Linked DNA regions of Ovis aries. The protein of the gene in region 1 binds, or shares a complex with, the protein of each later gene. Links are inferred from orthologs where the notes say so. Each region holds a gene or a part of one and is shown on either strand. Other genes may lie near its edges.

The links. Proteins that work in one complex are often made in the same cells at the same time.
Region 2: the proteins of NME5 (region 1) and DYDC2 are in contact, whole or in part, in a cryo-EM structure (PDB 8X2U), measured with the Mus musculus proteins. The link is inferred for Ovis aries from reciprocal best matches to the Homo sapiens genes NME5 and DYDC2. Residues at the interface, in NP_542368.2 of Mus musculus: Arg140, Ala145, Val146, Ile147, Ile151, Pro152, Ala156, Ala157, Tyr160, Ile161, Tyr164, Val165, Thr168, Leu169, Leu173, Leu176, Cys177, Lys180, Pro181, Asp183, Pro184, Tyr185, Leu186, Leu188, Ala189, Asp190, Leu192, Met193, Asn196, Pro197; in NP_001347537.1 of Mus musculus: Asp2, Tyr5, Leu6, Cys9, Phe10, Gly13, Leu14, Leu18, Val21, Ala22, Arg23, Val24, Arg25, Pro26, Asp28, Pro29, Ile30, Glu31, Leu33, Ala34, His35, Leu37, Tyr38, Tyr40, Arg41.

The regions. Positions count from the first base shown.
Region 1 is NC_056058.1:47,221,620-47,225,268, reverse strand, and holds part of NME5 (nucleoside diphosphate kinase homolog 5), read left to right. Parts: intron 1-803; coding exon 804-922; intron 923-3,649. UniProt on the Homo sapiens protein: Functions as part of axonemal radial spoke complexes that play an important part in the motility of sperm and cilia. Does not seem to have nucleoside diphosphate kinase (NDPK) activity.
Region 2 is NC_056078.1:34,795,736-34,799,404, forward strand, and holds the start of DYDC2 (DPY30 domain-containing protein 2), read left to right. Parts: upstream 1-744; 5' UTR 745-890; exon of another isoform or gene 891-1,025; intron 1,026-2,816; 5' UTR 2,817-2,993; intron 2,994-3,669.

The DNA.
Region 1 (3,649 bases):
TCATGAGATACCTTTGCTTACCCACTAGAATAGCTATAATCAATGGCAAGAATATAGAGATACTGGGACCCTTTTTGTTTCTGGTAGAAATATGTTTTTTGTTGTATTGCAAGTCTGGGTCACCTATAGTGTTCAAAGAAAGCTGAAAAGACTAAAATTTCCTTAAATCTATATAATTTATTTTAACAATTGAAAGATAAGCCGCAATATTAATATATACTATCATATAAATAGGACTTATGTGTATATTCAATAGTTTATAAGAGAGCAAGAAGCATGTATTATTCACTCATATCTGTGAAGTGAAGTCAAGTCACTCCGTCATGTCTGACTCTTTGCAACCCCATGGACTGTAGCCTACTACGCTCCTCTGTCCATGGGATTTTCCACTGTGCAAACTGCCTCCATTTTGTTGACAGGAGTTAATTTTTGTGAAGAATTAATCTAGATTATATATATTCTTTCAGCTTTTCAAAACATTGTCCATTATGTATTTACTGTTAAAAAATGGAAATGGAAATGCAAAAAAGGAGATTGTTGAAAACATAATCAGAATCTTGTGTGTGAGCACTATCAATATATTGATGTATTTTTTGCTATTTGTATGAGTCTTATTTGTGTGTGTGTGTGATTGTGTTTTTGAACAAACTATTCACTATGTATCTATTTCTGTTTACTTTTTTTAAAAAAGAAAAACTAAGTATTTCTCATGTCATTAAAATTTCTTTGAATGTGTCCTTTTTAATGACTATAATATTTCATCATTTATGTTAGCTTTAATGGGAATACATTTGTATTTGCAGTGATTGTTGAGCCCATTCCAGTTGGACAAGCTGCTAAGGACTATTTAAATTTGTATGTAACGCCAACTCTGCTTAAAGGACTCACAGAACTTTGTAAGCAAAAACCAGCAGATCCTTTTGTAAGAAATCTTTTTATTCATACTGAAGAATACTGTCTATAGCTTTCAGAATTAAAATATTCTTTGAAATATATAGAAAGTCACTTAAAGCTATTTTATATACATTTTAGATACTTCCTTTTGTATAACATTTGATTACAGTTGACCCTTGAGTAAGAGTAGGACTTAGGGGCGCTGACCCTTTGCACAGTCAAAAGTCTGGCATACTAAGAGCTCCCATGTGCAACAACTAAGACCCAGTGCAGCCAAAATAAATAAATACTTAAAAAAAAATCTGGCATATAATTTATAGTAGGAACTCGTATCCTCAGTTCCTCTGTATCTGTGATTTCTGCATCTTGTGTTCAGCCAGTTGTGAATTGTGTAGTACTGTCGTATTTACTATTGAAAAAAGGCTCCACGTAAGTGGACCCCTACAGTTCAAATCTCTGTTGCTCCAGGGTCAACTGTGCTTATTTTCTTGCTGTGTTTTGACTCTTAAAAAACATTTTAAGTACATTTTCAGTCATTGCATCCTTCAATTGCTCAGCATTGTTTTTGTGTATAATTTATATAATCAAATGATAAAATTAGATATATACTTGAATTTTGTTCATCATTTTTATTTCTCGTGATATCTAAATTTTCTGAATAGAAGATTTGCATTTATTCACATACTTGATGCCTCAACATTGCTCATTCAGGTGGAAGAACTGTTGAGTATGAGGACTTAGGATGATGATCCAGGGCCAACTGTCAGCCTGGATCCTTCCTTATAGATACACCCGCCCATCTGAAGAGTCTTAGAGATAATCAGGGAAGGTTATTTTAATATCAGCCCTACCAAAATAATATGTTTGGCCTTTGTTAGAATTCTCAAAAGGAATCCTTTTTGAAAGACAAAAGATTTAATCTTTCCCACATGTTAACATTACCACTTTTACCAAAAAGGAAAACATTGACACGTTATTTCTCTAATAATTCTCTTTCATTGTGAAAATAGTATTTATTTTAATTTAGTAAGAAACCTGAAACTACTGAAAAACGTAAAGAAGAGAAGAAAAAGATACTCATGGTTCCATTTCCTAAACATTGTCTTGAAGTCATCTTGCCTGGACTCAACTCTAATTCCAGACACCTAAATTCAAAGATGCTTGCTCCTTGGAAGAAAAGCTATGACCAACCTAGATAGCACACTGAAAAGCAGAGACATTACTTTGCCAAAAAAAGGTCTGTCTAGTCAACGCTGTGGTTTTTCCAGTGGTCATGTACGGATGCTAGTGAAGAAAGCTGAGTGCCGAATAATTTATGCTTTTGAACTGTGGTGTTGGAGAAGACTCTTGAGAGTCCCTTGGACTGCAAGGGGATCCAACCAGTCCATGCTAAAGGAGATCAGCCCTGGGTGTTCTTTGGAAGGAATGATGCTAAAGGTGAAACTCCAGTACTTTGGCCACCTCATGCGAAGAGTTGACTCATTGGAAAAGACTCTGATGCTGGGAGGGATTGGGGGCAGGAGGAGAAGGGGACGATGGAGGATGAGATGGCTGGATGGCATCACGGACTCGACGGACGTGAGTTTGAGTGAACTCCGGGAGATGAGATGGACAGGGAGGCCTGGTGTGCTGTCTAGGTTGGTCATAACTTTCCTTCCAAGGAGTAAGCGTCTTTTAATTTCATGGCTGCAGTCACCATCTGCAGCGATTTTGGAGCCCCCCAAAATAAAGTCTGACACTGTTTCCCCATCTATTTCCCATGAAGTGTTGAGACCAGATGCCATGATCTTCATTTTCTGAATGTTGAGCTTTAAGCCAACTTTTTCACTCCTCTTTCACTTTCATCAAGAGGCTTTTTAGTTCTTCCTCACTATTTGCCATAAGGGTGGTGTCATCTGCATATCTGAGGTTATTGATATTTCTTCTGGCAATCTTGATTCCAGCTTGGGCTTCTTCCAGCCCAGAGTTTCTCATGATGTACTCTGCATATAAGTTAAATAAGCAAGATGACAATATACAGCCTTGACGTACTCCTTTTCCTATTTGGAACCAGTCTGTTGTTTTATGTCCAGTTCTAACTGTTGCTTCCTGACCTGCATATAGGTTTCTCAAGAGGCAAGTCAGGTGGTCTAGTATTTCCATCTCTTTCAGAATTTTCCACAGTGTATTGTGATCCACACAGTCAAAGGCTTTGGCATAGTCAATAAAACAGAAATAGGTGTTTTTCTGGAACTCTCTTGCCTTTTTGATGATCCAGCAGACATTGGCAATTTGATCTCTGGTTCCTCTGCCTTTTCTAAAACCAGCCTGAACATCTGGAAGTTCACGGTTCTTGTATTGCTGAAGTCTGGCTTGGAGAATTTTGAGCATTACTTGACTAGTGTGTGAGATGAGTGCAATTGTGTGGTAGTTTGAGCATTCTTTGGCATTGCCTTTCCTTGGGATTGGAATGAAAACTGACCTTTTCCAGTCCTGTGGCCACTGCTGAGTTATCCAAATTTGCTGGCATGTGGAGTGCAGCACTTTCACATCTTTCATCGTCTTTCAGGATTTGAAATAGCTCAACTGGAATTAACATCGCCTCCACTAGCTTTGTTCGTAGTGATGCTTTCTAAGGCCCACTTGACTTCACATTCCAGGATGTCTGGCTCTAGATGAGTGATCCTACCATCATGATTATCTTTGTCATGAAGATCTTTTTTGTACAGTTCTTTTGTGTATTCTTGCCACTTCTTCTTAATATCTTCTGCTCTGT
Region 2 (3,669 bases), on another chromosome or scaffold:
CCACCTCATGCGAAGAGTTCATTCATTGGAAAAGACTCTGATGCTGGGAGGGATTGGGGGCAGGAGGAGAAGGGGACGACAGAGGATGAGATGGCTGGATGGCATCACTGACTCGATGGACGTGAGTCTGAGTGAACTCCAGGAGTTGGTGATGGACAGGGAAGCCTGGGGTGCTGCAATTCATGGGGTCGCAAAGAGTCGGACACGACTGAGCGACTGAACTGAACTGAACTGAACTGAAGCCTGGCGAAGCTGTCCAAAGAAACAGAGGTTCCTCGGTCATGCTTGGGAGAAAGCAGGCCGAGTGGGAGAGGAAGGGATCGGATACAGTGGCCAGTTAAATTTAAAATTTCAGATAAACAAGAAACGATTTTGTATTATACACTCTACTATACATGTACTAAACAGTAATTTCTTATGTCTCTGAAATTCAAATTTAACTGGGTACCCCGAATTTTACCGACCTGGATTCCGAGAGCTTCGGTAGCTTTTCTATTCCAGACCCGCCTCCCCTGCCCCTCCAAAAGGCGCGGCGCTGCTCACCAGTGAGGAGGAAGAGGAGTAGGACTCAGCCACAGAGCTGCCTCCCTGCGCTGAGCTATTCCTCTGTCGCACCACTGGCAGGGTCCAAGGGCCAAAGCTGCCTCTGCCGGCTGGAAACCAGCCCAGCACCGGAAGCTGTTCTTCCCAAAAGGCGCCTGCATTCTAGAGGCTGGCGCCTGACGCATGCGCCTACCTACCTGCAGATAGCGTCCCGTTGCTAGGCAATGAGCCCGCGCGCCCCTGGGCTGGAGACTGCCTGGGTCCGAGAGAGAAGAGTGCGTGCTGAGAGCTGAGCTGACTACGCTGGGCTGAGGTCAGAAGAGGCGCGGGCCGGGGCGTGAGCGATGGTGAGGGTTGGAGGCGGCGGCGGAGTAGATGCTGCAGAGAGGAGAAGCTGGAGGAGTGGAAGGTAGGATGCGCAGCTGAGAGGAGGCTGCGCCCAAGGTGTACAGGGTGCTGGATGGAGAGCCGGAAGCACCAGGGTACGTGAGCAGAGACAGGATGTGCAATCTAGAGGCTTTGAGGAGGGGCCAGCCAAAAAGGGGAATTGACCAAGCGAGACTGGCAAGCGCAGTGCACACGGAGAGAGCCAGGACAGAGGCTGACCGGGACGGGGCGGGGCGGGGCGGGGCAGGGGCGGGAGTGGATGTGCGCAAAGGCTACCGGTAGGTGAAGCCCGCACTGCTTAAGGCCAGAAAAGAGTGTAGCAATCTAACATCCTGGTATTTTCTCAGCCTAGCGCTTTCGCACCTGCTGGTGACTTCTGCTTGGATCCTGGCCACTGGGGGTGGGGATAGCACATCTAAGAGCTGTAAATTCAGTTTTACTTGGGGACTTAACTGAGGATTATAGCCCTGCAGACAGCCTCTCAGACAACTCTGAGAAACTGCTTCAGCATGGAAGAGGTGAGGGCAGAGGTCAGCGTATAGGAGATTTGGAGAACGGGTACCTGCAGTCAAACATATATCTAGGTAAAAGTCTACTGCTAGTTATCAAGCACACACAGTTTAATTATTTTATGGCTTTTCTAAGTATGTAAGATGCAAGAAATTGGGTTTGTAAATTTTTGTCCTGAAAGTTTCTGTCTGAAGGTCTATTCTGTCAGTTTTCCCAGAAAGTGGAGTATCTCATTCCTGATTTCCACCCTGAACTCTTTTCAGGCTGTGTTAGTGACCAGTTAACAACTGCTAATGACTCAGTCCTTGTGGAGCCAGCTGGCTGGAGACATTCTTTAGTTGGCACTACTTTCAGAGCGAGCCCGGGTGCCCCCACCTCCAGGAAGTCTTCCAACCTTTTTCATCTCCCCCACCATCTGCAGCCTTCCCTGGGCTAGTTGTTTCGCACAGTTCTTGGCTAGCATTTCCCATGTTTTGTTTCAGTTTATGTGGGGCAGTGCTGGGCACAAGATGCTTCACTAAATGTTGATTGAGATAATAAGTGCCAGCGGGAGCACTGACAGATGGAAGGCTCTTCAGCGTTTGGTCCTCAGTGTCTGCCACACTGCAGTAAGTGTGGCAAACTGGATAAACGATCTGCTCCAAACTTGGTGATCCCACCCCCTGGGAAGGGTAGTTGTACTGGGATTAAGGCAAAGGAGAGCTGTAACTGTGTATCACCTGGGGATTCTGTTAAAATGCAGACTCTCAATCTGTAAATCTGAGGTGGGACCTGAGAATCTGCATTTCAACAACTCCCAGGTGATGCAATGACCACACTTTGATGAGAAGGGGTGTAGAAAGTAGTTTACTTGGGTGCATTGGTTCAGGTGCATTAGTCACAGATTGGCAGAAGCAGCCACCAACACATCCCCATCCCCTCCCTTCACCACTACCCCAAACGTAGTGACTTTAAACACACATTTATTATCTTACAGTTTTTGAAGTTTGAGATCCAAGATGAATCTTACAGGGTTAACGTCAGAGTGTTTCAGCAAGGCTGGTTCCTCCTGGATGCCCCAGGAAAGATCCCCTTCCTCGCCTTTTCCAGCTTCTAGAGGCCACCCACCCTCCTTGGCTCATGGTCCTGAATCGCATCACCTTTTCTCCCTCTGCCGACATCACCACACCTTCTTCCGCCCTGTCTGACTTTTCTGTGTCCCTCTTATAAAGACTCTTGTGATTACATTGTGCCTACCTAGATTTATTGCTATTTTAGTTGCTAAATTGCGTCTGACTCTTTACAACCCCATGGTCTATAACCTGCCAGGTTCCTCTGTCCATGGAATTTCCCAGGCAAGAAAGAATACTGAAGTGGGTTGCCATTTCTTTCTCTAGGTGATCTTCCGGACCAAGGGATTGAAGCCACGTCTCCTGCACTGACAGGCAGATTCTTTACCACTGAGCCACCTGGAAAGCCTGCATACCTGGATAATCCAGTATAATTTCCCCAAAACAAACAAACAAAAAATGCCAAATTTAATCACATCTGCAAAGTCCCCTTTGTCATATAAGGTAACGTGGTTCATAGATTCCGGCTATTACTTTGTGAACACCTTTGGGAGCCATTATTCTGCCCTGACACACTGTGTATTTCCTAGGGACAAGGACATTTTCTTACTCATATTTCAATTACCACAACCAGGAAATTTAACCTTGATATAATTCTATTATGGAACTTACAGTTCACATTCTGTTTTCCCAACAATTTCCTTTACAGAATTCTGTCTCCTGGTCTACATCCAACTAAGGATCATAGATTGCATTTAGTTGGGATGGATGGCTGTTTAGGCTCCTTTGAGCTGGACCAGTGCCTCATCTTTTTTGTCTTTCATGATGTTGACATTTTAAGAGTATACCCCAGTTATAGACTTTCTCTCAACTTGGCTTTGTTTGATGTCAGATTCCAGTTTTGCATTTGGGGCAAGAATCTACAGAAATGTGTTGTGTTCCAGGAGGAAGTGCATCACATCAGGAGACACATAATGTTATTTTGTCCCTTTATGGGTGATATATGCTTTGATTATTTGGTTAACATTGTGCCTGTCAGGTTTTACCACTGTGAAGTTTCTGTATTTCTTTTTGGAGTTAATCCATAATTTGTGGAGAGAAACTTTGGGACTATATGAATATCCTGTTGCTGCTGCTGTTAAGTCGCTTCAGTCGTGTCCGACTCTGCGACCCCATAGAT